Linked DNA regions of Astyanax mexicanus. The protein of the gene in region 2 interacts with the protein of the main gene of each other region in a pairwise test. Links are inferred from orthologs where the notes say so. Each region holds a gene or a part of one and is shown on either strand. Other genes may lie near its edges.

Region 1 (10,100 bases), on a different chromosome or scaffold from region 2:
GCATAAATGAATGGGAAAGATGCCAAAGGACAGTCAGTCCTGGTCTCCACTCTTCCCTCATTCCATTCCTGCCTTCATCTCTACTCCTCCCATCTTGTTTTCCATACTAAGCCTCTAATGTCACTGAGCTGGTGAGCCCCCAGTGCTTGAAAGTTGGACCAGTTGACCATTGTTCCAGAAGGTAATGTGGTATGCTATGATATATGATAATTCGGTTGGTACAGTGAGTGTTTGTACTATTTCAGGGCTAAAGCACCTGTTTCTCCCGGCAGAGATAATCCCTCCATAGAACAGCTGAGAAAATCTAAATGACCCCGTTTCTATTGTTTGTTAAACTCTTTAGTGACTCATATTTGTTGTTGTGCGTTGCCAAATCCTTGAATCATATAATTTTTTTTATCATTAGTGTGATGGCAGAAGGTTCTGCCATTGTTCTCCTTAAGTGTTCTTCTTCATCGTCTTATTTCAACCATTGTCTTTTTACACAGTTTTACACAGCCTGCAACTTGTCATATTGTCATATTGATGCCAAGTGGGCAAGTTTTAAGTTTTATGCTTTTGTAATTGCATATATTGATTAATCATACATTTCTTCCCAAGCTGAGATAGATCAAGCTGATAAAATATGTCCATTGCAACGTCAGCAACTTTAGAGGTGAGGAACAGCATTTTGGGATGCATAGCACTTCACTGTGCAGGAACTCTTCCAAACATGGAGCCAACCTTAAAGATTTTATCCATGCAGACCAGAAAGAGATGAACATTTACCACCATGCTGTCAGTACCCTCAATCTAAACTCCAGTCCTATCACAGTGTGGCTTTTTTAGGCAGATACTGAGGTAAAGGGGAGGTAGCGTGATAAGTTGAAGCAGTCATATTACAAAATTAACCAATCACGCAACCGCACACGTGGCACCAGGAGAGGATAGCTTTTGCACCATCAGCAGTATTTTTAAAAAATCCACTACTTGTGCAACACCACAACTTTAGAAAAACATCCCGCACACCTTAGAAACCACTTAGCAACACATTAGCAACCAACACCTACAACATAGTAACTAACAACAATACCATATCAACAATTAACCAACCAACCAACACCTGTATCACAGCAACAGCTGCTTCTGCTGGGACTGAACTGTCTAGTTTCATTTGAACCACTAAAAGTTTTTATTACGTTTTTTTTTTTGTATTATGCTGTATTAAAACACATTAATGAGGCTCGAAGCAATCATTTTTTTTTATGTCATTTATTTATTGAAACAATACATTGGACATCTTACAAACAAGAAAAAAGACCACTGTGATCTATGAGGAAAAAACAACTGCATGTGAAGCAACAGTTGACAAATAGTGCAATTTCATTCATTTATAAGTCGTAACAAAATAAAATATATTTACCTAAACATTGTAAACATGCTTATTGTTGCTTTTTTCATTGCATAAACTGCAGGACTGCTTACAAAATACACATAAACCTGACTGTCTCTGCTTCTGTCCCTCTGTTTTCTTCTGTATCTTTCCTTCTTGATTTCTGACTGATTTCCTCCAAGTAGGCATCAGTACCTCAAAGGATCTTGCCTGCCAACCTTCAAGTCCAGAACTTGCTCTGTCTGCTTCATTTCTTCTGTCTAGTTTTGTACGATTTGTGCCAATGGTTTCCAGCCGAAAACATGCTCAACTCCTTCCTCTAAAGTTTAACTTGCTTTACTTTAATTATACAGGTCTATTTAATTAATCAGATACTATTTACAGCTCATATCTTCTTTACAAACCTCTTGCATCGTCATCAGCAACATCAGTCTCTGCAGTTTCTCAAGCAGGGCGAGGGCAGTAACAAAGAAGGCTTTAAAACGTCTATTGTGTACATTTTCTACCTATATCTGCAAGGTTAGCCCCCTTTTCTCAGTGCCCTTCCACAGTTCAACAAAGTCCAAACATTCTTCGACTCAGCTTCCCCTCCGTCCCCTCTTGCTCTCTTTCTCTTCACCCCCTCTGGGCCTCCTGAGACATGGACCTGCCCAGGGTTCTGGCCGATTTGGCGAACTCCATGTGGGTTGGTTTGACGGGTGGCAGGTCTCTGGTGATCTCCTGGATGTCCCTCTTGTTTGGGCACTCTCCGTTGGGTGTGCGGGCAGGGATGAAGTCCTCGGGGGTGTGTGGAGTGCCGCGACCCAGTCGGATGCCAAGGTCCACTGGTTTGAAGACTGGCAGGGGGAGGGTGTTTCTTTTGGGAAGCAGCTGGTGCTCCCGAACGCCAGACTCCAGAGTTCCCACTCTTCGCACTCCCGATGGACAGGACTGGGTGAGGGGGCGAGCTTGCCAGTAACGAGACATGGTCTCCCGTCGTGAATCGTCGGACATTGCCATGGATTGGCTAGAGAGAAGAGAGAAGAAGGCGCAGGAGAGAAGTGGTTAACCCCTTTAAAGGTCCAGGGTGGGTTGTTAACAAGCTGTTAAGGTTTATTGCAGATGCATAAGTATTAATTACTTGCTACTCTAATTTCCAGGCAGTATTTATGAGGGTAAGGGGCTAACATGTGGGCTGACATGCAAGTCCATTAAGGGGGTCTATTTTAGGCTTATAATTCAGTTACTAATCTTAACCACTTGCTGTTTAGAGAGAAGGAAATCTGGGTCCAATCCAGGGAAATCGTTTCATGTTTGGGTCAAATTTCCAACCCAAATCTTTTACACCCTATTTAGCCAATCAAAGACATCTGAAGGTATTTGCAAAGTGGATATGGTAAATTGTGCTCAGGTGGATCAATTTGGGTTGGAACCAAAGTCTGCAGGAAGGTTGAGGACTACTAGTTCACATTGTCATAGACTGGTATTGTGACCTTCTGGAGAGGTACATTCCTGCAAACTTTGGATGCAACTCAACATGATCCACCCAAGCCAGAAGAATCCCATTCTGCAGGGAGGTAGTTCTTCAGGAGAAGGGATGGAGTTCACTGCTTCATATCTTTTTAAGGTCTCAGTGACAGATTTGATGACCTGCTGGAGAGGTACATTCCTGCAAACTTTGGATCCAACCTTATAGCACGTTCTACCCTATCCAAGTAACTACTGTGTTCAGATGTCTTTGATTGGCTAGACGGATAAGGTAGGGTTGGATGCAAAGTTTTTAGGGACTTTAGCACACACCAAATTCAGCCAATTAAAGACATCTGAAGGCATAAGTTAGTTGGTAGGGTGGATTAGGATTGGATCCAAAATCCAAAACTATAATACATCATTTAATCAATTAAGGACTGAATCTAAAGGGAACAGTTGGATACAACGTTTATAGGAAGGAAGTTCTCCAAGAGCAGGATTGAAAACCACTGGTCTTTGTCTTTGTAGTCCTCAAAGAGAAGTCTCTTTAGCTTCTAAAGGACTACCTTCCAGCAGGTTTCAATTCCAGCCCAAATCAATCAGGTTTCTTTTAGCCAATAAAGGAAATTTGATGGCAGAGGTTGGTTGGATAGGGTGGTTTTGATCCACAGTTGGGTTGAAGGTAGTTCTTCAGGAGCAGGACTAAAGACCAAAAGACTTTTTGGGTCAAATATATCAGAAAGTCAGGAGTCTAGGATAACTTTAAGAAGAACCTGAGAAAGACATTCCTAAGTTATAAAATTAAGGAAAGACTGTTCCCACACAAATAAAATTAAATGTAAGTTAAGTGTAAGTATATGAACTTACCGATCCTCGTGCTGTGTTTTCATGTTGATGCTGTGCCAGTCAGCGGTGTAGCTCTCTCTCTTGGCAGCGTTCTCCTCCCTCACACTGCAGCTCAGCTCGGCTCCCACCACGCAGCCGCCACGCTTCTCCAGGACTGTGCAAACCTGCATCTTCAGCTTCTGTGTCTTGTCTTGTTACTTAAGGGTTAACTGTAATTGTAGAGGATCTACAATGATCGTCTCTTAAAGAGGATCTTCACTGGTTCTGTTCTTCTTCTGCTAAGAAGATAGATCTCAATTTGTTCTTCACCTGGTTCTTCAACTGCTTGCCCCCTGAGCAGTGTGTGTATGCTGTCTGACTGAGCGAGTGTGTGTATCTGCCTTTTATACCGTCTCTGATGCTATTTCCACACGATGCCCTCACTCCACAGCCTGTCTGCACCGACACCTGATATTCCCTCCCGTACTCGCATACACTCATGTTGGCCGCCGTGTGCTGGAACAGCGCAGGGGAGGTTTAGAAATCCCCCGATGCCTGGAAATGATCCCTACAACACACACACATGCACACACATGCGTTATTAGAACTTGGGGAATGTTCAATCCAGTGCTCTGTTATGCAGCTAGTCAGTCCATCAGTCCATAATGTTTCACTTTCAATACTTTAAACCACATTTACTCACATTACTGTAATTGAGTAGATTTTATAAATATAGGTAAAAATAGGTAATTTTACTTTTACTCAAGTACATTTTGACACAAGTAGTTTACTTCACTACATTGGAAAACTCCCTGTTATTAAGCAAAAAAATAAATGCTGGGGGACAAAAAAATAATTGTCTGAATAAAAAAAAAGTGAGTTTTGTTCTCCATGGTAGCGCAGCTGAACGTTTCCTTTTTAACTTTTAACAGTAAAGAAAAAAAAATGGATCATAGAAATCTATGCCACTTGTTCTTTAAAATGTTTGTTAGGGTGGTCTGAACAAATACTGCCTGAAAGGTCCAAATTATCTAATTTAATAATTATTTAATTTATGATTTGTTTGGTGTACTTTTTTACACCAAATAAATAAAAGTAACTATGTAACTTTTACTCAAAGTACATTTTACATTGAGTACTTTTTACTTTTACTCGAGTAGGTTTTTAGATGGGTACTTTTACTTTTACTTGAGTAGAATTTTAGCAAAGTAAAGGTACTTTTACTTAATTACAATTTTCCAGTACTTTTTCCACCTCTGCTTTAAACATTGAGGCAGGTAGAGTTGATTATTAAATGATAAAACAATGAATAAGCAATAGATAACCTGTATTTTTTTATAAGTTAACCACACTGTTCCTGTTCCTACACTCTTCAAATCAAAGGTAATTATACAAATAGCTGTATGATCAATGCCATAAAATAATTACTTTTGGAAATAGAGATGTATGCAAATGTGAAAAAACCTTTTAATTGGAATAGAACCTTGAACTTAATGATCTGACCTTAAACAGATATACTAAAAGGTTATTAATGCCAACATCTCTTTTACATTAATGATTATTTCTGGAACCACAAACGTCTCTTTCTGAATCCTTAATTACACCTGATTTTTTTACTTTTGAATTTCAAATTGATATCAAGTAACATCTCTCTTACATGCAAATGCAAACATATCGATGGAACAGGTCTCAAACAAATGCAAAAGTATTGACCATTTCCTGTCAAATCATCCCAGCACAGGAGTCACAGTAGTACAGCAGTATTTCTTAGATAACTGTAGTCTTGTTTGTCCCCCCTTCCCTCCCTTCTACTTCTCTCTATCTCTCTCTCTCTCAGCTGTAAGTAGATTTTTATCACTATTTATTCTTTATCTCTCACTGTACTGAACTTTTCTGAATTACAACTTTTAAAACCACGGTGTATTAGGTGTGTGTGGACACACTGAACATGCCAATGCTACCCTTTTAGTTTTTTCAAGTATTGACCAACGAAACAGGAAGCACCTGGGACTAAGGGGCGGAGCTACAAATGAACAGGTGAGCAAAAGAGGAGGAGACAGGATACAGTGTTGCCAACTAAGCGACTTTGTCGCTATATTTAGCGACCTTTCAGACCCTCTAGCAACTTTTTTTTTTGTAAAAAAGCGACTAGCGACAAATCTAGCGAGTTTTTGTGGTGTTATTGGAGATTTTTGGCGACTCTGAGATGAACACATGCTCTTCAGTCACTGTCCGCAGCGAGCAGCAGGGGGCTGCTGTGAGCCCCGCCCACAACACTCACAGTGCAGTCTCTCACAGACATAAAGACCCAAAAGGCGTTCCATAACAGTCAGGCCACACCCACACCGCTCCACGAACACACTGTAAATGAACCGTGCGTGCCCACATCCACCGCTGACTGACCACGCCCCATATTTACAAAGCAGGATGTAAATATAAATGTGTCTTCAGTGTGACACGAAAAGAAATCACTTAATTTAACTTCCGGGAGATTATATGTGACTCGCGGGCATCAGGGAGCCACTAGCGAAATGTGGGAGACTCCCGCAGCTTCAGGGAGACTTGGTTTGTCTGCTTTGCAGTCACTGACATCTTGAAGCTCCTTGTGATCGAAGCATTTACATCATCACAGTATCACAATAATGGTGAATGCACATTATGTTGTGGAGCTCAGACATGCAGACATGCACCCATACAGTAAACACCACTATTCTTACACTATATGCTCTTTCACCACTGTTGTCATCACTGTGGAAGAAACGCAACCTTCGCCATAATCCCCACTCTGCCCAGGCTCTTTAACAGCTCTAATGGCTGCACTGGAGCTTCAGAGACAGACTTCACTAATGTGGAAAGTCAGATAGGCTCAGAGATAGCCGGCGTGGAAACTATTTTAGACCTCGGTCTGTTGTGCTTTTGTCACTGAAGAGCAGATATGATTCTATTCGCCATTCTCAGAGCTCCTGCACTTTTGAACTAAGAGAAAAAAACAAAAAAACATGTGGAATCTTCACTCTGGAAAATACAGGACACATGAGAGAATTAAGGGGGCTTAACACGGTTCATCAGCTAATTTCCAGAGCAAATGCTTAAGCCTATAAAATTACCCTTGCTAATTTGGTCAGTTGCAGCATTTGCTAGGGCTTAAAAGAAGCTGATTTACAGCACAGGCACAAGAGCACAGAGCAGAGATTCTTTCTAAGTTCTTTCATGATATTTTAACAGATTATTGCTGAAAGTATTCCCTTACCCATCCAAATGGAACCTTATTAAATATAGGTTCCAATCCCTTCCATTGCCACATGTGTATAAAACCAAGCACCCAGGTATGCAGACCGCTTCTACAAACATTACACTGTAAACCCATACGTTGTTAGAACTCAAATGATTTAAGTCTGTTTTACATAAAATTGGATATTTCTAAACAATACTCAACTATTTTGAGTTAGATGAACATTTGTGAGCACATATAATCTTTATCTTTGACTTGAACCAATTTATAATAACTGAGTTTAGTCTGTTGCCATTAACAGCTACTTTTCCATTGGCTTCAGTCACAATCTATTTGCATACTGGGCGTGTCCAACAGTTTCTGACTAACACTCACCATCAGTGTGTAGTGATTCCCCCTGGACTACCTTAGAAATAAATCAACTTCCCTTTTAGTTGTAAAAAAACTTGATCTTTAATTTATGCTCACTTAAGTTTTTATTTCCTATACCTTAACAAATTTGAGCAAACTTAAAAAAGTAAACTCAACTTATCTGGTCTTACAGTATAACAAAGCTAAAAAAGTTAAGTCAACTTCCCCTTTAGTTGTAATAACTTGATGTTAAAAGGATGTTTGAAATGAAGTTGAAAAAAGAGAATAAAGTATTATTTAGTTATATATATATATATGATTGTTAAAGTACTATAAGTTAAATAATTATACTTCAATCTTTTTATTTTTTCCATCAATTCAAAGCTTAAAAACACTTAAAATCAACTTCTTCCCAGGTTGACATTTTTTACAGCGTACGTACAGTGGATATAAAGTAAAGCAGTCATAGTGTATCTATAGAGAGAGACTAAGCGTGGGCCTATGTGACACTAGTCACTAGTCTAGTCATGGTATGATTTACTGCACTGCTGATAGATGGATGATGGGGAGGGAGGAGGGCTTGTTTCTCAGCTTTCACACACACACACACACACACACACACGTACCGTACTGCAACCTTCACCCTGACACACAGGTCAAATACAGGAATTGATGTCACTACTGCTCATTCAGACGACTCAGCACTCCGTGTGGTATGGAGAAGGAATGCCAGGCATGAGTTACGCAAGCAGGATGTACCCTCAAGTCATTGAGTTGTACTTGTAGTACAACTGATGGTGTTCACTTACAGCCCACCATCACCATTTACAGGAAGTGCTGAACATCTTTACACCTACTTTGTTGATTGGATACTCATTAAACGTTTGTATTTAAAAAATAATAATAATTTAATAATTTTGTTTAATAAATTTGTGTTGTCTTGCGGGTCAAAAGTGACCCACTACCGTGTTTAGCTGTAGAAAAAAAAAAAACCTTAAACTATCTTTTTCCAACTTCAAATTTTATGACTTTTCCTAAAGGCACCCCATCATTAGAAAGAGTAAAAATGTTTATGTTTCCAAGTGGGCTGTACACCACTAGGGTACAATGGTTGTCTTATAGATCATTTTTGACCCATGAGTTATTAAAGCATTTTTAACACCAGAAAAAAGTATAAAGGTCAAACACTCGCTCTCTAATACACAGAGCATCAAACATCATAAGAATGACTCCAGGACCAGGACCAGGACTACATATAGCTTTTGATATTAGCAGGTGTATAAAAAAATCTCCTCCACCAGTCTTACACACTGCTTTTGGATAGCTTTATGCCTTTAATCCTGGTGCAAAAATTCAAGCAGTTCAGTTTGGTTTGATGGTTTATGATCATCCATCTTCCTCTTGATTATATTCCAGAGGTTTTCGATTTGGTAAAATGAAAGAAACTCATCATTTTTAAATGGTCTATATTGTATAGTCTCTGGGATGCAGAGAGTGGATGGGCAAATTTTAATGCCACAATGCCGCTGAAAATCGTTCACACGTTCTCAAGAATCCTAAGATTTTGACAACCGTGAGTCAAGACCAGCAAGGCGTGTGATGGACAAACTGACAGCCATCAGAGAGTTTTTTTTTTCTCTTTCAATATAATTAATTCAGAATTACATAATGACAATAATAAACTTTTACTGTGTAAAATAAAACTGTTATGACAGCTGGTTTGTGGTAAAAAAAAATGTAATACTGTCGTTTTATTTTGTGTAGCAAAAAATACATAATAAATAATTAATTAAATTGAATTGAATTGATAAATAACAGGTTGTTTAATCATGCAAAATAGATTTTGGATTTAAAATTAAATAAGGCTGCTTAATTTTGTGGCTTCAGTAGGGCCGGTCATTTTTGACCCGTAGGACAAAGGGAGTAAACATAATGTTAAGATCGTACAAGGGTCAAACACATAGACATTTTTTGTTGTGTTCTATGGAAGCTAAAGAACGTTGCACTGACCTTTAGGATATGTATTTGGGGCCTCCTGCACTGAATGTGGATGTGAATTATGCCAGTGTTGCTTGTCTGTTTGCACTGTTATACACTTGATACTGTGGATGGAGGAATGTTAAATTCCTGCACAACTTCAGAAATGGAATGTCTCATCCATCTGTCACCCACTGTTAGACCTCACTCAGACTCAGACTCTGATAATTAATGTTTTGTTGCCATGAGCATGCTGACCAGTGTTCAGTCTTACAAAATAACAGAACTTATATAGGTGAGGGCATTCTCAAGAAGGTGCAGGAGGAAAAAAATAAGCTCAAGTGGAGATGGGCCGTGCAAAATGACAATGACCCAAAACATTTCAGGAAAGACACCAATAAGTGGCTCAAAAGAAATAAAATAAGTTCTGGAATGGCCAAGTCAAAACCAGGAACCCAAGCCTGTTATGTGTGTCTGGTGCCACCATGCAATTATTTTTCATACAATTATTGTTACCACTTTAAAATAAGACTACCTTTTTGTAAATGCCTTAAAAATCATTAATAATCGGTTATAACACATACGTAGAAAGGGCAACAATATAGATGGCTGTGGGTTCACTATTTGGCAAACAACAGGTCATTGTTGCCCTTTCTACTTATGTGTTATAACTGATTATTAATGATTTTTAAGGCATTTACAACCTAATTAGTAACCATTAATAAACTATATGTAAACCATTTATAAACCCTTTATAAAGGTAGACTTATTTTAAAGTGGTACCTAATTATTTTTATATTTTGCTGAAATAAATTATAGCAAAAGAAAAATGTACATCTTTAACTTGGGGTGGACAATATGGCCCTAAAATAATATCAAAGTATATAATTTTTT
Region 2 (11,087 bases):
GCGAACTGTCAGTTCTTTAAGTTATTGATGTGTTGCCAGCAAGAAAATAAAGGTAAGCACAAGAATCTGAATGACTTTGAGTGAGCCACAGCATTCCTAAAACATCATTCAGGTCTTGTGGTGTGTTCCTGGTATGCAATAGGCAAGGATCCAATCAGGGAGGGGAATTTAGAGTGCCTGGTCTGACGTTTGGCAAAGGCCACGCTCTGCGTTGGAATACCGACTTCTCTGAACACAATGCACGTTTCCACTGTGTGATGGTCCATACCAGATGTGTCTGAGCCCGGAAAAGTCAACGCCACCTTTGGACATGGTTAACATAAGGCTTCTGACCTCAATCAAATAAAAAATAAAAAAATACATATAAAATACATTAGCCTGTAATCTTGATTATTTCATTGTCTTAATTGAAAATTAGATAAAAAAATCCCATACAAACTTTAACCACGGAAATCAGTGCACCAATCAATACCCTAATTTTCACCACCCAAAGCTTATAATGAGTGTGTGTCCTTGATTGAAGATTTGTGCAATGGAAAAGTCACCTTCCTTCACGGTCAATTAATTTTTACCACCACAGAGGTCAGTTTAAACCTCTCGATTCCAGTTAAAGGTTATACAAATCTCTCGCTCCAATGGACTTCCTGTGCATTCATCAGAAACGGAGTGAATACAGTTCGAATGAATCTAAACAAATGAAACCATTACCACCCTGTTTACTGGAATATAATCAAGAGGAAGATGGATGATCACAAGCCATTAAACCAAGCTGAACTGCTTGAATTTTTGCACCAGGAGTGACATAAGGTTATCCAAAAGCAGTGTGTAAGACTGGTGGAGGAGAACATGCCAAGATGCATGAAAACTGTGATTAAAAATCTGGGTTATTCCACCAAATATTGATTTCTGAATTCTTAAATCTTTATGAATATGAACTTGTTTTCTTTGTATTATTTGAGTTCTGAAAACTCTTTTTGTTATTTTAGCCATTTCTCAAATACATGCTCTAAATTACAATATTTTTATTTGGAATTTGAGAGAAATGTTGACCGTAGTTTATAGATGAAAATAACAATGTTCAATTTACTCAAACATATATCTATAAAAAGCAAAATCAGAGAAACTGATTCAGAAACTGTTCTTTATTTTTTCCAGGGCTGTGGTATGATAAAATCTATAACATAATTATTGTAATAAGCCTATTAAGAACTAACAACCAAATTTCTGAAATATGAATCCAGTAAACAGTGTAAACTGTACTGTAACCCTGGGCCTCTCTGTACATTCCTGAATAACCGTATTGGGGCACTTTGTTCAGGCATGTCATTTCCAGCGCATTGCTGGGATAGTTAAAATGACTTACCCATCCCAGCAGTGACTGCTGCCACCATGTGAGAAAACAGTGCTACTCCAACTATAGCCAACTTTTTATATTTGGCACTGCTTTTATATACAGAACTAATAATAATTTATTGTTACATGACTATTCATATCAATTCAGAAGTGGTCAGATCGGATTTGCCTGTCTGGACGTCACAAAGCTATCTGTGTGGGTTGCTGTAGTAATTATGGAAGTGTTAGTCGCCATGCTGATGGTATGGCTTTTATACGTTGAAGCAAAAGAAGAAGACTGAGGAGCATCATCTCACCCTTCAAACAGACACCCAGTAAAATCACGATCACTCTGGATTTAATGAGGTCATATTTGGTAGCATTGCAATTGGCACAAAAGATACCATGAAATCCAGACTGACTGAGAGTGAATTTCAAACCACCTCTAAATTGTGATTTGGATCAGATTTGCCAAATCTGAATCAGTATCAAAATTCAATCTTTAAACAATCTATTTCCAAATCATCTCTACAGATTTGAATAAATGCCATCTCTGCTGTTACTTTGTATTTAAGTGTACAGAAATATGCACTAATCCAGAAAACAGGACCTTCTTACTGTATTTACCTTCTAGCCCCAATCAGGTCTGACCAAAAAAAAAGAGAGAATATTCTCACATGGTTTGCTGTGATTCATTTTGATAGGCTCAAATTTTTCCCAGTGTGAAAACAAACCAAACAATCCAAGTTTACAAACTCGTTAATTAATTCACACCAGAGCAAACCTGCTGTACACTTTTTAAAATGAGTACTGTAAGATTTTGTGGGGAAACACTGCACAAATTCTGCATTTTATTTGGAAATCAAGGGATCAGAGTCTGGAGGAAGAGTGGAGAGACACACAGTCCAAACTGCTTGAGGTCTAGTGTGAAGCTTCAACCAATCAGTGATGGTTTGGAGAGACATGCCATCTGCTGGTGTTGATCCACTGTGTTTTATTATCAAGTCTAAAGTCAGTGCAGTTTTGTTTTCCCACAAAATCTTACAGCACTTCATGCTTTCCCACTGCTGACAACTTTTATGGAGATGCGGATTTCATTTTCCAGCAGGAGTTGGCACACTGCCCACACTGCCAAAAGTCTTATATAATATTCTAATTTTCTGAGACACTGATTTTTGGGTTTTTCCACTGGCTCTAAGCCATACTCATTAACAATGTGCAAAACTATTCACTGAGTAGGCAGATATATCTAAATACACTGTTTTCATGACAACACAAAAGAAGAAGTTAAATATATTGTGCTAAACTACACGTTTTTTTTATATAATTTATTTAATGGCAAAAAAAATATTAAATAGGAATAACAGTTCATCATTATCAGAAACATTCAAAACAGGGACATAATATGAGCATACAAAATGAGTACTTATAGTTTTCTTAATTTCTCTGAAACCCATTAAATGTTAAAAGCATTGCAAAACCTGTATCACATAGCAGCTAAGAGTTATCGGAAGGACAGACAGAGATCATGAGTTACTGTTCAGTGGGAGCAACTCAAACACTACAAGACTTCAGGACACGATCTTGTGCACAGCGACAGTGATGGTTCCGTGTGTTCTCACCAGGACATTCCTGCAACAATAAAAGGGTACGACTTTAAAACTAAGTAAACAACAAGTACTGAAACAAGATACATGTTTTTAAATACAATGTTGTCTATAGAGCAACCAGACAGTGAACAGAAGCTTTAAATGGCCCCATTCTTACTTATGTCTTGAATTTTACTTTGAACTGCCACGTCATGGGACAGGAACTAGTGTAGCGTCTCATGAAAGCTAAAGAACTTTGCCCTGATCTATAGGATTTTGTTTGTGTGGCGGGTCTTCTGTATTGCATGTAGATGTGATTTCTGCCAGAGTCACTTACTCGTCTGTTCACACAGACAACTCTAGCCAGATGCCGCAGGTCATGATCATTACCACCAGCGGCCATCCATCTGCACCCACTATCAGACCTCACTCCAACTCCTGCCTGCATTGGTTTGGTGCATGTCGTTTTTTTTAATTTATTGTTTGACTTGTTCGACAGAGCTTAATCCCCACTGGGTTGATACCCCCCTCACACACCTGTGACGCTGTTTCTATTTATTCTAAAAATATAAACATACAATAAAAAATCTCTCTGTAACCAAATAATGCACACTATTAATGATAGTGATAATCTTCTCTCTAAATTCTTTGTAAAACTGTTTCTTTGTTTTAAAAACTGCAAACAAGAAGCTTGGTTTATCAGAATTACAGTTATTAATATTTTTTTTGTTGTTATAAAAGGGGAAAATGCAGACCTAAATTAATATATATTTATATTAATAAATACTACCATTTAAATATTAGATAGGCCAGGTAGATTTAAAAAATAAATATTTAATTTCCTCTTATATATATATATATATATATATATATATATATATATATATATAAGCTGTTATTCCAGCTGATATTCATGCAGTTTAATGTTATAATATTAGAGGAAGTTGTACTTTTATTCTTTCTAAGAGCCACATCACAAGATCTGCTGTAGTTCTGCTGCAGGTGGAGACTCTTCGACTTGACTTCCTCCACCTCCAAACCCTAGTTGTCTAGTGTCTCTCTAGTGTCTTGCTATGAGCACACTGAATAGTGTACACCCTAACTTACTAGATAACACCTCACAGCTTAAACAAGCCCTCCCCTGATGAATTTCTTTTAAACCAATTTACATATTGCTGTCCCATTAGTTTTAGCAGTTCAGTGTAATTTTCTATTGCTCCTAAAATCTTGTTATGAAATTAGTGGAAATTTATGCACACAGTAATGGTGTACTGAATCAGGTAGGGAGTTAAGAGGACTTAAAATATTAACAGTGTTTATGCACTGAACAAACTGTTTTATTGAATTGTTTATGTCGTTCATAACGTTCAATAAAACATGCAAAGGTTTTGGCATCTGCAGGAACATCCACAAGCTTTAGTGTGTCTCTATTCTGGTACTCTATGGTAGATCTGAGGAATGTTTTGGATTACTATCCTGTTACAAACGTCATCCAGTCATTTCAGTTCATAACAGGCTTTTAACAGACTGTTTGTTATCAGCATGCTATCTGTTGGTGTACCTAAAGAACTGGCATAGTCATGTTAAAGTAATACACTGTATAAGTGAGAATATGAGTTCTCTTACCCAGAGTCAGACTCGAGGCACACGGTGGGAGAGTCTGTAGGGTCTTTAGTAAGAGAGGCAGCCTGTTTCGCCAGGACAGATACAACCCCACCGTGCTCATCAGACAGGGTGCCGCGGCCTGCAGAAACACCACACAACTAGTCAAAAACATACTGTTTTTCTTTTTATTTTATTTATTTATTTTAACACAAAACTGTCAAAATAATTGCAAAACACTGAAACAGATATCAAGTTGGCTTTTTTGACAATCCAGGACTAAGCTGATTAATAATATTTCTACTGTATTTATTTGTATTATACTAAATGATAACCAATACTTACATCCGAGATTATGACCCTGGGCATCTGTACACAAAACCCCAACGATTGAAGGACTTTTCATTCTGACGAAATAAATAAACAGATAACAGACATTCATAACAGGCATTTATAACAGTGGGAAAATGTACTAAACAACAAGAATCAAATAACAACACCAATCAGCCATAACCCCATCAACTCCATTATGCATGGTACCGATAGGATCATGTTTATCTGTTCCAAAGATTCAATTCTTCTCTACAGAGATTAAACAAGGAGTGTGCTTTTTTTAAATAAGATTTTAGTATACTATATATACAACCTATATATGTGTGGAGCTTGCCTGCTTTTGCAGTCTGTAATTTAGCATGGTAAGTTATTTGATTGATAATTGTTTCTGAATTATACAGTATTCCTACTGAGAAAAACATGAGAGCCAAGAAATGAACTACAGTGCTTACTACCTTACGTAAGGTACCACTTTGGGACGATTTGAGTACCACAGTTTAAGAACAGCTGGTGTATGTAAACTTCTACAAATTGGCTACTTGTTTTTTTTTAAGGAAAGGGGGAAAAAAATTACATTTTGAAAAATATACACGTATATCACAGTACTGAAGAAGCACAATCAAACAACGTGTACTTGTACTCAAATTATTCTGAAATTATAGATAAAGTAGATAGAGTTAAGCATACGCAGAAAAATATATTATTTAATTACTTTACACATATACCAAGCATCCCATGATATGGGATTATTATTTGATTTATTTTTAAAAAGAGTGACAACAAGCACTAGCTAGATAAATAATTTGCTGACTGTATAGAAGGCATATGTCATATCAGTATGCCTAACCTTAGGGGTTAAATGATAAAAAATTAGAGGTTAAATGATCAAATTAGGGGTTAAATTATAAAAAAAGGGTTAAAGATACACTCCCAGACCATAAACACACCCAGTCAGACTCAGGTAAGGCTAGTCGCAGTAAAGAATGTAGGGATTCCATTAGGAATTAAATTGTAAAATTAGGGATTAAGGGTAAAATTATGGGTTAAATTATAAAATTAGGGGTTAAACGATAAAATTAGGTGTTAAATGATACAATTATGGGTTAAATGATAAAAATTATGGGTTAAATGATAAAATTAGGGGTTAAATGGTAAAATTAGGGGTTCAATGATAAAAATAGGGGTTTAATGGTAAAATTAGGGCTTAAATGGTAAAATTAGGGGTTCAATGATAAAAATAGGGGTTTAATGGTAAAATTAGGGGTTAAATGGGTTATAAGATACGCTCCCAGACCATTAACACAAGAAGTCAGAGTTGGGTAAGGCCAGTTAAGCTAAGTTAGTTAAGGGTAACTGTATAAACAGCGCGGGTCCGCTCAGCGCTGTATAAAAGCCGCTGCTGAATAATAATGGAGCTCACGTGTCGTCCAGGTGCTGCTCCAGCGTTGCCTCCATAACTATAATAATAAATATTGCAGATTGCAATATTAAAGAGAATCAGAGGGGAATTGAGCCGCTAACAGGCTAACTACTGTTGTACACTGTATACACCCTAATCAGCTGACCCTGTGTGCACGTGATCAGTCTGCTACGGAAAGCTGTGAGGATCAAACACGCGCACCGGAGCGCTGCGTGTAATGGAGTGGCGCCATCTAGCGCTACTTTAACAGCAGTGAATCTAAAACAAGCATAATATATAATTTTATAAAAAGATATACAATAAAAATAAGATAAGACCCTCAATCATTAAACAATAATAAAGTATATATGTACTTTATTATATATAATAATAAAGTAAATATGTTTAATTATTATTATTATTATTATTATTATTATTATTATTATTATTATTATTATTATTATTATTATTATTATTATTATTATTATTATAGCATTCTTATATTTTCCCATCAATGGAACATAATTCATGTCTGAATAGGTTAAGTTGTTAATGCTCAGCTGTATATTGAAAAGAAAAAAACGGTTGCCTTAAAATCGTTAAGTAATGGGGAATGAAAACTTAAGTTAGCATAACTTAGAACATCAAGTTATTACAACTAAAGGGGAAGTTGATTTAACTTTTTTATTTCTTTTATACTCTAAGACCAGATAAGTTGAGTTTACTTAACGTTTTTAAGGCAGCCGGTTTGCTCATTTTTTTTTAATAATGGGGAATGAAAACTTGAGTTAGCATAAATTTAAATATCAAGTCATTACAACTAAAGGAGAACTTGATTTATTTCTAAGGTAGCCCAGGGGGAATCACTACACACTGATGGTGAGTGTCAGTCAGAAACTGTTGGACACACCCAGTATGCAAATAGATTGTAACAGAAGCCAATGGAAAAGAAGCTGTTAATGGCGACAGACTAAACTCAGTTATTATAAGTTGGTTCATCTCAGTTTGAATGTTGTATATTTGTGCCTACAAATGTTCAACTAACTCAAAATAGTTGAGTATTGTTTAGAAATATCCAATTTTATGTAAAACAGACTTAAATCATTTGAGTTCAAACAACGTATGGGTTTACAGTGCAGAGATAAAGATAAAAATAAAGTTGATTGATTGATTGGCTAGTTGCCACCCTTCACTAATGTCATTTGATCTGACAAGATAATGACCTATCTCTGTTATTTTGCATCATCCCTTTGTGAGATTAATTTCTGGGTTCAGTATGTACAGCCTCAATATTACAGAATATTAACAGCTTCTCCAGAGCTCTGAAAACAAGCAGACCACCAGCATGTTCCCCTTTTCACCCTGCAAGCAGCTTTTGACTCTCAGCTCACATTTAGCCGCTATTGTTGGTGGGGTCTCCGGGGGCCGGGGGTGTTCAGTGTGAATGTGGATATCAGATGAACCCTCGTCTCTGACTAAAGCTCCAAGAAAAGAGCAATTCTTTCCTCCACTCACTCTTAAAAGGGTATGTGTTATCATCAAAAATCACTGCTGATTTGTCCCTCCTGTGACAATGACACGGCAAAACTTTGTCTTTTATGTTTGCTGACATTTTTTTTCTACCAAGAATTGATTCTAACAATGGAGACAGCTCAGCTCAGGCTGAAAAGACATGAATGGATTTCCTCTTTGTGAACCCTAAAGGAGTTTCTTATCAATCTCTTTCTTATTCTTTTATTCTGAAAAGACCCCCGCTGTGGATTTGAGCTTCCTGACTGCTTGTTCAGTAGATGTTCCAGGGGGTCATAATCTATATTATGGGCAGTATAGTTGTTTAAATTTCATATAAACTCTGTATAACAATACATTTTTCAAGATTTATGAATGAACACATTAGTACAAATACAGAGGAATGTTAATCTTGCCATATGTGTGTCTGCAGTGTCATCTGGATTTTTTTTAAGTGCTTAAATAACACAATATAACACAATTTGTTAATTACTTTTTATTAATTTCTAACTTTCTATAAATGTTGTGTCTATTAGACTATTTAAACATTCTGATAACACACAATAGTACATTCGTAAAGCATTATAAACATGGCTTTAAATATTTATATATTAAAAAATCATATACAGCCATGTTTATTATGCATTATACCACAGTTAGTTCCGACCCTACAATGTGATTGGCTGAGAGGCGTTCTATGAGTGCCGCTATCAGCCGGTAATGCACTGTAACCAAAGCTCTCCATGTATTAATATGCCACATACAGTACAGGTAACCTAGCAACAATGCAGCGCTTCTCGTCTTCTTTAATCTTTCAATAAACTGTGATAATGAAACTGTGGTATAATCGCAATTTTTTTCATATTAAAGTTATTTTATTACATGTTATATCACTCCCTCTCATGTATTATTGCTTAATTATGAACTGAGATCATAATGCATCATAACCTGTAATAAGCTTGTAGTATGTTATGCATCGGGGTTAAAATGTTACATTTCTCTTGCTATTAATACAGCATATTCAGTATATCCCCTTTTTGGACATTTTTCACTTTACTTAAAGTGTACAACGACACATTATAACACATTATAAAGTAATATAAGTTAATATGAGTGGTTAAAAGTGGTTAATTATAGCATGCTTTGTTAAAGGAGCTATGTTTCGGTTCTGGGTATTGACATATAACATCTTATAAGCACAGCTGATGATGCATCATAATCACAATTCATAATGCATAATAAACATGGCTGTAAAGTGTTATACATTTCTATAAATATTTATAGTCCACTTTATAATGCTTTATGAATGCATACTATTGTACTTTGAGTATATAGAGACTAATATGGTTAATTAAACTCAAAATGTCAAGTTATTTTATCCAAATTGTAAGTTACTGAAACAAAGGGGTCTATTTATACACATGGATGGGGACAGGAAACACCTTGGGGTGAGTAACAAGGGGGCGGAGCTACACATGAACAGATGAGCATAGAGAACAGACCAAAGGTGAAACAAAACAGAACAAGAATATATCAAAAGTCATTTTGTAAAAGTTATGGAGGACAAAAATGTAGTATTGTGATAAAAACTTCAGTATATTTAGTCCTGTTATACACTGAGCTCTGCTCGGCTAAAGTAGCCGGAGGGATTAACGCAAGGCCAGGTTTTATGTCGTCCGTTTCCGATCAATAAGAAATGCCGCTTCTCATTTCACAAGCTTCCTGTTTCCTCTCGTTACTTGCAGGCTAGTGAGCCAGGAGTCAATCGCATTTGAATCGAGTTTATTTATGAACTCAATATTTATGCAAATAGGAAATGTGAGTAGAGAATGTAACTACTCTCTCTATTTCCAGGCACCAAAATCAAATCAGTTCGAGCAGAGAATGCTGTTCTCTGAACATCTTCTGCAGAGCCCTGTCCCGATACATCCAACTCTTTATATTCTATTCATGATGAATATGTTTAATAAACATAATTATATGTCGTGTGTAATAAGGCTTTAATTCGCCATGAGTCACAATCAGACCAATCCCGTTATCCTCACTGAAGAGCTCTGCGTGTGAGACTGTGTTTTTTAAGCAGCCGTAGGCAGATCTGAGCTCCACACACACTGTGTGTGTAAAGTGTAGATGAAAAACATATGATCAGTTGCTAGGATTGCTAACTGCTAAAATATTAGCATCTACCAAAAACAGAATTTAAGAACACATGAAGACATGGTCAGTAGTGAACAACCTTTTGCATGATGTCATCAGCTCTTACACACAGACCACCAATACACCACTAACACAACCATAATGGCAACTATTCCATACATCCAGCACCTCTACCTGAATGTTACTATACACACACATACACACCAATTGGGCACAGATTCCATCTCTTTCTCTATCCCTTTTCTCTGTTTTCTCTCCCGCCTATATATATTGTACCTGTTCTGCTCTCTTGTTCTCCTGCCTTCTTTTGCTTGTTATTTTGCTTATATTACTATCTCTCTAATGTAATTGTTTATTAAAGCTAATAAAGCTTAATTTGTCCTCCAAAGAGGGGGGTGGGGGCGGACCTAAATAAATAAATAAATAAATAAATAGATAAATAAATAAATATTGCTATATGTTTATAGATAGTTGATTTGAACCTGTTTACTTTACTTAAACAATTTGAGGAAACTGGTTAGTTTTTATGTTCTTAATTAGATTCGAAATGTCAAGTTATTATGCCTAAATTGTAAGTTCATTTGATGTATGCTTTATTTCTTGTATTAATTGCTTTTCATGATCGGTTTTACAGCCTACAGCATTGAGAGCAGATAGTTGCTAATAATATATTGTATAATCTACAAGTTTACCTACGGAGGAGGCCATGGGGAAATGACTACACACTGAGGGTGAGATGTGGACCGCAAGCATGAAACATATGGCCCGTGAGGTTGTCTGAACTGTAATGAACGATAATGAAAAAAAAATAAATAAATAAAATGCTTCTCTGGCGAGCTTTTGTTTACATTCCTCCCCTGTCTCTCTCTCTGTCGTGCACGGCTTGACTTTAGTTTCCGCCTGTTTCCGCTCCCTATGTCCTTATCACATTTTTTTTCCTAGCTGTGTCCCAATTCACTAGCTGGGACAGCAGTAGTGTATTGGACCGTGACCGAGATGACTTGGGTTCAAACTCGCGTGAGGAGCGGTGTGTTTATTTATTTATTTATTGTGTTTACCTACTTTGAGATGAGCTGTTCTGCAATTGGGTTTAACAACCCTCTGGGCTGGAGAGCTACTAGTAGCACCCCATCCTATTAAACTTCATATTATCCCCCATATACTAA
Region 3 (11,087 bases), on a different chromosome or scaffold from region 2:
CATGTCTCCAGACTCCCAGTTCGCACACTCGAATGCAGTTGCTGCGAGAGAAAGAGAGAGTCTATGAGTCTCATTAGAATTGCTCAATAATGCTAAGGCAGCCTCCATTATTCACAAGTAGGGCATCATTAAGGGCGTTAAGAGCCCTCCTGCAGGGCCCGCATGTTCAATTCCTCAGTGGGAAGCAGAGAGCAGAAGGAAAAAAGGATCTGCCTCTGCTCACACTAAGCTGACCTTTCTGAGCTTCCTCACCTTGCTGAGGTCCTTGGTGGTGACCCCATCATCATCACGGCAGGGCAGCTTGTGAACGAAGGCAAGCATCTGATACTTTGCACGAATAAACTCAGACTTGGTGGGGCTGTAAAAAGAGGCCAAAAATGTAACTAAACCCATAAAAATCCAGCAATAGCTGATTGCACTCTCAACAAACAAGTGAAATACATAAAATTATTCATCTGAAACTGAAATTGATAATGTCTATGCTAACATCATGTTGACAATTCCTTGATGTCAGTCCATATAGGATAGACTGCTCTTGCTTATATTTCTGACATAAACTGTAAACTACCAAAAGCTTTAATATGGGTTTCATAGAGGTATGGGAGTCAAATTCATATCTTGGATATTTCTACAGCCTGCTGCTGGAATGAGTCTACAGCGTGGCTAGGAAGTTACTCTGCCCCACTGCAAGGGTTTCTCTAAACAAGGACTTGGACGTTTCCAAGGCCTGATCCTGTAGCAGCTTTACATCATCATTTGGATGCTTTCTAACAGCTCTTGTGTGGATGTTTCAAAGGGTGGCTGTTGGAGTTAATTCACATTGAGGACAGGACATTTTCTAGGCTGGATATGTCTCTATGTAACAGGTGGAATCCCTTTACAGCAAGCTGAGGGACTGATTGTACTTTGTGGCTCCGAGACTCTCAGGCTGAACAGGACATTTTAGCAATGCTCATAAGGACTTTATCTGGGCCAGCAAAGTGACTTTACTTATTGTTCTGGTGTTCTGGGGAGTTGTTGGGGAACTCTGTGAGACTGCTGGGGCTGTTTTTGTTGCATCTCAGAGATTAAGAATTTTCTAAATAAAACTTAAATGTAGAATTGAACTTAATATTTTAGAACTCCAATAATTAAACTTAACCTTAACATTCTGCTCTTCAAGAGTGTAATAATTAAGTTAACAAATAGCACTTTGCAATATTTAAAGTTACCAACCAGCATTTTGCTTGTGATGGGAGAGCTATATTGCTCTGTCCAATATGATGAAAATCCACCCAAGGCTGTACAGATTTTTTTTAACAGCATGTGTCACAATGAAAAGACATTAATCTCTACACATTATACTTACTGCACTTTATCTTGTGGATTAGGTTTCCTGCGACCACTCTGAACCTGCGCAGGGTCCAGTAGGGAGTGCTCCCAAATGGAGTTAGCACCATTACTGGCTAGAGTCTGGACCATCTGAAACACAAAGCAACATTAAAACCATGTATTGAGTCACGCCTACACAGAGAAAGACCCTGTTATTTCAATTATTATTATAATGTTATTATTTCAGTGTAGAATAAACACTGATTAACTAGAACATTATATTTCTTCACCCATTATCCATTGAGTAAATGGGAGCAGTTTGTACTTCTATAATTACAGACTGTAGTCCGTCTGTTTCTTTGCATATTTTATTATCATCCTTTTACCCTGTTTTTCTATGGACAGGATGCCACAGGACCATCACAGAGCATATGTTATTTGGGTGGTGGTGTGTTAGTGTGTGTTGTGCTGGCTGGGGCTGCACCGATTAGTCGATATAATCGATAATGTCCAATATCAGTATTTTACACGTTAAAAACAACATCTAGACATTGCCTTTCAAATCTCATGTCCAGCTTTTTTCATTGTGTTTAGAGATAGAGAACATGGCAGAAACAATCATTGACTAATAAAAAAAAAATCATCAGGTTAGTCGACTACCAAAATAATCATTAGTTGCAGCCCTAGTGCTAGCATTAGTAAAGACACAGAAGTGCTGCTGGAGTTAAAAAAAAAAACACTTCAGCATCACTACTGCACTGAGAATAGTCCACCTACAGTGACCTCCGGGCAGCGTCCTGCACTGATGAATGAGCGCAGCGACAGACGGTCTTCCGTCTCTTGACTTATCACCTACATGTTGGAGCAGCTAGCTGGGCGGACGGTGCGTGGATGGTATTTAAAAACTGCAGGAGCACTGCTGTGCCTGATTCACGCCAACCAAAACAACACACACACTAACAAACCATCACTGCGCCTGTATTACAGCAATGGTGAAAATGACCCAACACCCAAATAATACCTGCTCTGTGGGGGTCCGGTGGCATCCTGACCATTAAAGAATAGGGCAAAAAGAGGATTAAAGTATGCAGAGAAGGACTACAGCCTGTAATTGCAGAACTACAATGTGTCCAGTACGAACAGTGGAGCTAGATATAGATAAAAATGAATAATAGGTGTAGAAATGAAGGTGATATATTTGATCAATGTATGTGCCAAGTACCTGTAGTAAAGAAGGGGGCCAGCCGCTGTGGCGCAGATGCTTGACGATGGAGATGTGGCGTCCCAAGCTTCGATGCACAGAACAGCACTCATCACAGATCAGCACGCCCCTGTTTATACTGCTCCATCCCGGATCTGCCAACACAGCATAAAACTCACTGAGAATCCCTTTAAAAAACACATCCATCAAAACGGTCCTCAAGAAGGCCTGGAGTGCCTGTCATGATTGAATTATAAAACGGACAGCGTATTTATTCTTTTTCCTGTTTCCAGCTACAAGCAAAGCGTTCACAGTTTTACAAATCCTTTTCTGAAATAGGTTTCACCACTGTAGCAAAAGGGTTTTATATTCCTATCAGGTTATCTGAGGCAACACACTGTTCCCAGATGAGCACATCCCCACAAATCTGGGTCTCTGAGGTGGCACATGAGGCAAAAGCTGCCAGGAGAGCAGTGCAGTCAGGGTGAAGGTTACTCTAACGTAAAAAGTAAAATGACCAAGTACAGAATGACAGAAACATGCTGCCGGCTTTTACTGGCCTCTAGAACTTCACTAAAATTATACCAACATAATACAAACCTTCACTCCTGGCAAATACCCTGTGTAAGGACAACAGTGAACTAAATATGCATAAATGCATAATTACTAGAACAGCAGAAAAACAAAAAAGGTAACAAAAAAAGAACAAAATACGTATGAGAAATCTAGAGTGTGACCATGTTTCTTTACAAGAAAAATAAATGCACCTCAACTATACCTACTAGGATAAGCAACTATACTAGTAATCCCACAAGAAAAAAAAATCAGTGTAAATTAGTTTGCATTGTTACCCTGTACATTGTGAAAAATGTGAGATTTCTTTGTTTCGTTTTTAAAGATACATCTAGCAACCACTTCTTATTTAAATACATTTTTTTAAGAAATTGCCCCAAACAACCAGAGTAATTTAAAAGAAAATAACATTTTTAAATGCAAAGTTAAAGGGATTAAAGAACACAAGCCAAAGAAGTGTGTGTGGCCTAATAATGAGACTTTTTTTTTTACAGTGAGCCTGAAGGCATTCTCAGGGAAAAGCCTAGCTGTCAGCAACTGGAGCTCTTTGTGATGATGGCAAAGATGAAACCAAAACTTCACTTGAATCAAAACTTTACTCTTCTGCTTCTACTCTTCTGCTTAGATTTTAGATTCAGATTTAAGTAGCAATTGCAGGGACAGTTAACTTGATTTATTACATAAGTTGTTATTTTTTTCTGACAACCCAATATTACATACTTAGGCTATGACTAATCCCTGTGCAAGTTCACATGAAAGCATGACAAACAGCTGATCTCATGAAACAGGGGATTCGTCAAGTGGCTGCTGACAGGAACAGTATTTATAGGCCCTGTTTAATGTAATTTATCACTCATCCAGGATGTAGTCAATCAGCCATGACATGTTAAGTATCTGATGTTTGTTTCTTTAATTTACAACAGAGGAGATGCTTCGCTAACATTACACATTACGGTCAAAATCTAATTTCCATAAACAGATTCCACAATTTCTATACATTGACTTACATGTTTCAGAGAACTATTCCTCTAACCCAAAGTTTGGGGCAGTGAGAGAGAAAATACAGGGTTAGGTCAAACTGAAACCTGCCTTATGAGAGACTACAATTCGATCTTTAGCCTTAATCTTGCTTAACATTATTTCATATACGTGCTCACACACTTCCGCATTGTTAAAGTGCAAATATTGCAACACAATATTGTGTTCTATAGCCACATAAACAATTTTCTTCCCACTTAACAAAACAAAACCAAACAAACAGTTACACTGCACAACACGTTGCTTTACATCCACCCTTTCACATTCACACTGCAGTACAACAATTATCAGCTCCTCACCAGCTGACGCACTCAGCCCCACTTTACACCACACCATTATATGCATTCCTCTGGCATGTCAAACGTGACTATTACACGCTCCTCAGCAGCAGCCAGGGAGCTGCAGTAATATGGGGCAGTAATGACAGAGCAGTAACAGAGTCAATCAAGTGCCCAAGACACCAGCTAAAACTCAGCACTGGTGCGGGAGAGTCAATGTTGTTGTCCTTAGTGCTGACAATGTATGCTGGTAACTGCATCATGCTAGAGGCAGACTGCAGGTAGAAGCTCAGGAGCTACAAATCAGTAGATGGGATGGTGCAGAGAGAAGGTGATCAGATGAGAGTGGGGACAGAAAGACAGAGGGACATTCCTGGAAAGAGAGCAGCTGTGGGGTATGACAGCAGCTGCCATTCTGCCCCCTCTTCCCTATGGGGCAGATGGGAGCTTCATAAGCAAGGCCAAGGCTCCACTGATCTTCAATAACCTGACTGTCATTAAGAGATGTTATATCAAAAGACAATGGGATGACAGCTTAATAAAATATGGTTTTACATAGTGAAAACAAAAGAGATATAGAAATATAAGAAATATAGAAACACTGCTTCCAATAGACAGGGTTGGAGAAATTAGTTATTTGCACTGGTATGTAGTGTGAACAGCTTGTAATTTTGTAAAGTGAAGACATATAGTAAAAACTCATTTGCGAATGTGTTTAAAGACATTTCTCTTGTTTTTATTCCATTGTGATTTAAGTGTGTATTTTTTTACTTAAATAAGAAAGAATTTTAATTGGCATTAGAGTCAGACTGATAAATAATATTCTACTAAAAGATTGGTAAACCAGATGTGCCATTATGGTCTTTTCACCTAAAAATGAGCTGATTTTGCAAAAGTCTTGTTCCAAAAAAAAATGATAACAGGATACTGAAGCCATAACAAGCCATGGTACATTCAATTTCAGCAATTAATATACTGTTTATCAATTGTTATAGTATACATGCCATTATAAGTGAATGTGGCAGACAATAAACTACCGAAACGTGACATTTTTCTCAAGTTTACTTAAGAATTAATTTAAGTTACGGTAGCTAACCTAGTTAATGGTAGCTAACCTATAGTAAAGTTTTGTGCTAAGGTTAGCTATCCAGCTAACTGTCTATGATGTGACAGAATAAGCAAATGTTTCTTAAATTATATGACGTTTTCAACAACAAATTATATCATGCATAATTAACTTTAGAATCATATTTAATGGATGTAACGACCAGGATGTAAACTCCGGTTAAAGACAGTGTCAATGACAGCTAGCTAGCGTTAGCGTTAACTGTCTAGTTTCAGTATTACTAACGCTACTAGCTACGATAGCTAATGCTAGCTAGCTAGGTTACGATGTAGATCGTCTACAGCAGCTAGCCTTAGCCAACTTACCTAGCTGAGCTAACTATTTATCTAGGTACTTAGTTATTTTTCGCCACCGTTATTGTGCAGTTATAGGCCAGGCATTTCTGATAAATGTCCCGCTTTGACATTTATAATCTAACGCTATATAACTAATTGAGTCGGGATACGCAACAGAGGTATGCTAGCTAGCTAAAATTAGCCAACTAGCTAGCTTGTTAACCTTAGCATTCTGAATAGTTACGCTTTTGACTGGATTAGCAGGTTAGCTAGAAGACTACGCAATGTGTGTTCATAACGAGTAGCTTACATGTTATATAGACTATATAGTAGCTAATTTATTAGACAGGTGAAAGGATAAATAATGTTAATGCTAATGTTACGTGGCTAGCGCGGATGCTAACAACAAGCAGAGCCCGATATATAAAACTCGCCATTACATTAGCCTGTAGCTAACCCCGTTTAACCAGTCAGCCGGCTAACTAACAGCTACAGAGTTTTCTGAAATAGTTAAACACAACTGCAGCCGCCTTATATACGGTCTAATGTTGGTGAATATGATGGACTCTTCATGTTAATATATGTTAAGGCCCTGGTCACTTTCTGGCCGAGGTTTGCAGGCCGTTTCTCCGTTTGTTTGTTGGCCCAGCAGCCGTGCTCTGTGTCTCTCCGCTCAGCGCCAGCTCGCTTCAGCCCACTAGACACAATGTTAACTAGCGCTAGCTAGATCCCAACAACGCCTTGATCCATGCATTTCAACCTACCTGGCGCACTGCAGTCGGCACACACCTCGCTCCTTTGGACTTTTCTGGACATGATAAACGCCAAATATACGGCGAGGCTTTACGAGATAATTTAAATATTCCAATCCAGTATCGGGGATGTTCGACGCTCCAGTTTAGCGACGACTGCAGCCTTGATGCCGCCCCTGAATGTCCGGAAGCCGGCGAAGAGCTTTCCAGGGCTCCCGGTCCTCACCCTTCTTCTCGCTCACGTCTTTTTTTCCTCCGTGTCCTCCCTCTGCTCCCACAGCAAGGAGTTTACGCTTCGTTAAAACCACACAAACACTCCCTTTTCCCGTTTGAATGAGAGTTAAATCACTCTCATAGGCTGTATAGAATATAATTTGGGGATTTTCCTCTATCCCACATTTATGTAGGTATTAGCCTGTTCTATCCAAGCCCCATATCCAGAGGCAAGCGGAGGGAAAAGACACGGAAACAACGTTTTATTTACATCCTGCACCCCACACACATTTGTAGGCTGTGGCAGGCTGCATACCGTCTCCCTCTGACGTCCTACTCTCTCGCCCCTAGTGTCAGCACATGGTGGGGTAGCAAGGAGGCAGCACACACATACTGTACAGATACGGTGGGCTTCAGGCTACTGTTTATGGGTTTAAACATGACTAATATAAAGCCTATAGCCCATAGGTTACTAGAAAAATCAGAAAATCAAGAGAATATTCCCTTTTTAATTTTTCCTAAAATTCTAGATGGAAAATTGGATGACAATCCATTATTCTTCACTGTACTGAATGACAAAAAATGAAATAGTTTTGAAAGTTTTACATTCTAATTCTATCTTTTCAATGTAAAATAAATTTTACCTTGAAATTGTCAAAATCCCCCAGTGAGCAAGACGACAGTGACAAGTAAAAACTCCCTTAAAGCTGGAGGAAGAAACCTTAGAAGAAAAAAAATAAGGGGGCCCATCCTCCTTTAGTCAATATGGACTGTATTTAGAGATAATCAGGTCAAGACTGAGATCATCTGGGGTTGTAAACAAATGTGTAGGATGGGACCACCCGCAATGCAGAGCGAAATGGTAATGAGGTGGTAATGACTGTGATAGGTTGCGATTGGCTAGAACTCACATCTACATGAAATGAACCAGTCTACATGAATGATTTTGGCATGTCATTGTATATAACTTATAGCTATCTAGATTGAACATCTAACTGGTCTTTGTTTTACATAGGAGTTAAATAAAAATAATGTAATATATCAATTTAAAGAACTTATAATAACTAATGTAATGATCTTAGAATAGTTTATAAGGGTCTAAAATCAATAAGGGGTAATAATAAAAAAGCCATCCATGTAAATGTCAGTGCAAACAGCTTTCTATCTCTCCTGCTTAGTATACAGAAAATCAATTAAAAGATCCCCTTCTTCAAAATCTAACACTGCCTGATAGCTGATAGCTTACTTGTATATCTGCTTATATGTGTTTAAGGCATTAGATGAAAACCTGGAATAATCCAATTTGTACATGATATAGGATGAGGCTGCAGAATCTCTACAATAATAGAAGAATATTGAATAATATTTCTTAAAATACTCTTTATATCACTTGAGCTATCAATGAATTCAATGCTCTAACAATAAAAAAACATTATCTGTGAAGGCCACAGGACTGTAAAATAAGCTTCTGCCTCTCTTCAACATTCTGTCGTGACTAGTCAGGCATTTATATGTTCTGAAAAAGTGTTTTTAAAAGGATTGCTAAAAGTATGGAGTGGATTTTTCTCCCCTAAAACAACAACCTTACACCTACTCTTTTTTTTTGTTACAAAATCGCCTACTCCACATTTATCTTCAGGGTTAACGTTACACATATATTCCATTTGTATTTCATGATGTTCTTTGGTTATGGGGGCTATAAACAGCTGTCTACATTTGCCTACTGCAAAGACCACCACCTGATTCAGAGTGGTTTAATACAAAATGCTTAATTCTGAAGAAATGAAGTCACAAACAATAGTGGTAATAGGAACCTAAACAATAGTCAGCTGAAACACTGAAATGGTCTTAATTTGCACTCAAAGAAGGTTTTTGCCATAAACTGATTGTTTCAGTGTAAAAAATAGTCCTCAAAAACTATTATTAGATAATAGTCCTCAAAAACTCACTATAAAAGACAACAAGAGAATAGTGGGCCATTGTTGGACATCCACATTCAATTCAATTCAATTCAATAAAGGCTTACCAATGTTACTGAACATGCAAACAATTGTAAAATATCCAATATTAGTGTTCTTTTTGTACATTAATTGTACTAGTATCTACAAACATCCTATGTTATTTAGCATAAAAGATATGAAAAATAAAAATCCATTTAAAAAACCTATCTAGCAGTGAGCTGTTGATACCATGGGAATTTCTGCACATTTTGTTGCCTCAGTTACAGAAATCTTTATCTCAATGGTCCATTCTGAGATGGCATGGACAGCAAGGCATCAAGTCAACTAGTTCCAGTTTTAGACACAGCCTCCTTAAATGTGAAGATGAAGTTGAGTGATGCATTAATCTGGTAGGGAATTTCACCTGAAAAGAAAAAAAAAGTGCTTCAAATAGTGACTTTATGTGAAACAATAAAATTGACCATAAGGTCTACAAAATGTTAAATGAGTGAAAAAATTAGGTCAATGAGGATTTGTATCTGTTTGTTGGTCTCAGAAATACATTTTCTTCATCACTGAGCACCTAAAAAAGGAGATGGAGTTTAATTTGAAATGCTGTGTTATCCATTTTATCCATCCAATTCTACAAAGGTCTGGGTCATTCTCGGTCAGGTATTGCTCAAATTAAGTGTTGCCTGGTCAAGTGTCTGATCAATCATCCACTGGAAAAGGTTCAGGGGAATAGCTGCTGCAATTAAGACAAGCAAGGAGGTCAGCTGCAGACACCAATGTTTAGAGGAACATCTAGAAACAGAGCTGGATTTTGAGGATGACTGACTCAACCTCAGGTCACATATTCTACACTTTACTGTGACAGAGCTGGTGACACCCATATCAGCACATTAAACCCCTCTCTTCATTAAGGGTTTAGATGAGCAGCCCAAAGGCTTAGGTGGGATCAAAAAATCCACCTCACCACTTTTCAACAGACCATTTCTTTGTTTTAATCTACTCTCCTGGCAGTCTAGTAGTTTTAGGCTATCCCTAGTTACTGGGAATCACTTATGCACTGGGGAATTGACTCAGCATCTTTCTTTTCATGTCATTCTGCAATCTTCAAGAGCCAGTAAGGATTTTTTTCATATTAAGGATGCTTTGTCTGATTTTCTTGACAGCATCACAACTCCCTTCACATAGCACATGGGTCTGTATTGATTTTCCTTTAACCGCCTTCCCTTCCAAAGGTATTCTGTATTATGTTTAGGTCATGGAGAGTGACATTAAAAAGCTAATGAACCTATGCTGTTATTTGTCCATCCAGGTTTCATATTATAAAAAAATGGACCCCTGAGAATATGTATTTATCACAGTGTTGTGAATGCTATTTAAAAGTGAAGTATTGGCAGTTGTTTCAATTAAGTCTGCAAATTGAAAGTGAATTTTGAAAGTTGGAAGTTGAAGTTGAAATCTGTCGTTTGGACTGTAATTTTGTGTATTCTGTCTCTGTCTCCTTTTTACTGCTTTTGATTTTTTGCTAAAGTGAGCAGGTGGTTTATTAAAAAAGACACAGTTTATACACACAGTACATTCAGGTAGTTCTCCGGGCACTGCTATCTTGAAATAAAGTCACAATAAATTGACTGAAAAGCATAGCTGGATAGGTAAGATAGTGTTTTTTTTTTTTGCATGAGCAACGTTATGCCACTATCGCTAGCTATTTTGAGCCTGTTGGAGCATTGGCTAAAAGTGCTTTATTTTAGAGTGCTGGGGGTGAAAGGAGATGGGCTATTTGGCAAAAGTTTGTACTCATTATCATGTTTCACTTCACCCCAAGTCAATTTGAGAACTTATTAAATAAAGGTTGTTTTAAGCCCTGTCCGGACAGGATTAGTTTTTTAGGTGGATGTCTATGAAAAATATTTCACACTTCTACTCAAAACTTCTGGGACCACCACAGGAGGACGAGTGAGTTTTTTGGCTTTCTCGTTCACATGACATCGCGTTAAGTAGCTCCTGCGTTTCCACTTGCTGTTGTGTTAACATGGTTCTCTGTGAAACCGTGCGCACAAAGTGTAATTACAGTGAGTAGAAGTGGATAAATAGCTATTTTATTAAATGCGAGGTGACGAAACTCAGAGATGTGCATCCGGACAGGACTAAAATTACCAGAGGATCACGTTGATCAGCAAAAAAATGTAAGGTAATTCAGCCAGAACCATGTAAACACGACTGTGAGTGGAAATGGAGGAGCTACTGAACGCAATGTCATGTGAACGAGAAAGCCAAAAAACCTCATGGTCCTTCATGGTCCTAAAATCGCAGAGGACCCCCAAAAAAAGAGAAAATTACCCCAGGACCCCCTGAGAAAATAATCCTATCT

The links.
Region 1: the proteins of lamtor5 (region 2) and tcap interact in binary tests that used the Homo sapiens proteins (3 or more experiments, as listed by UniProt). The link is inferred for Astyanax mexicanus from reciprocal best matches to the Homo sapiens genes LAMTOR5 and TCAP.
Region 3: the proteins of lamtor5 (region 2) and git1 interact in a two-hybrid assay, tested with the Homo sapiens proteins (2 studies listed by BioGRID and IntAct). The link is inferred for Astyanax mexicanus from reciprocal best matches to the Homo sapiens genes LAMTOR5 and GIT1.

The regions. Positions count from the first base shown.
Region 1 is NC_064426.1:36,179,102-36,189,201, forward strand, and holds tcap (telethonin), read right to left. Parts: upstream 4,037-10,100; 5' UTR 3,838-4,036; coding exon 3,689-3,837; intron 2,379-3,688; coding exon 1,988-2,378; 3' UTR 1,237-1,987; downstream 1-1,236. UniProt on the Homo sapiens protein: Muscle assembly regulating factor. Mediates the antiparallel assembly of titin (TTN) molecules at the sarcomeric Z-disk.
Region 2 is NC_064419.1:41,212,903-41,223,989, reverse strand, and holds lamtor5 (ragulator complex protein LAMTOR5), read right to left. Parts: upstream 6,436-11,087; 5' UTR 6,312-6,435; coding exon 6,277-6,311; intron 4,931-6,276; coding exon 4,869-4,930; intron 4,666-4,868; coding exon 4,548-4,665; intron 2,965-4,547; coding exon 2,904-2,964; 3' UTR 2,646-2,903; downstream 1-2,645. UniProt on the Homo sapiens protein: As part of the Ragulator complex it is involved in amino acid sensing and activation of mTORC1, a signaling complex promoting cell growth in response to growth factors, energy levels, and amino acids.
Region 3 is NC_064425.1:19,367,127-19,378,213, reverse strand, and holds the start of git1 (ARF GTPase-activating protein GIT1), read right to left. Parts: upstream 7,103-11,087; 5' UTR 6,619-7,102; coding exon 6,567-6,618; intron 2,668-6,566; coding exon 2,534-2,667; intron 1,462-2,533; coding exon 1,349-1,461; intron 359-1,348; coding exon 253-358; intron 42-252; coding exon 1-41. UniProt on the Homo sapiens protein: GTPase-activating protein for ADP ribosylation factor family members, including ARF1.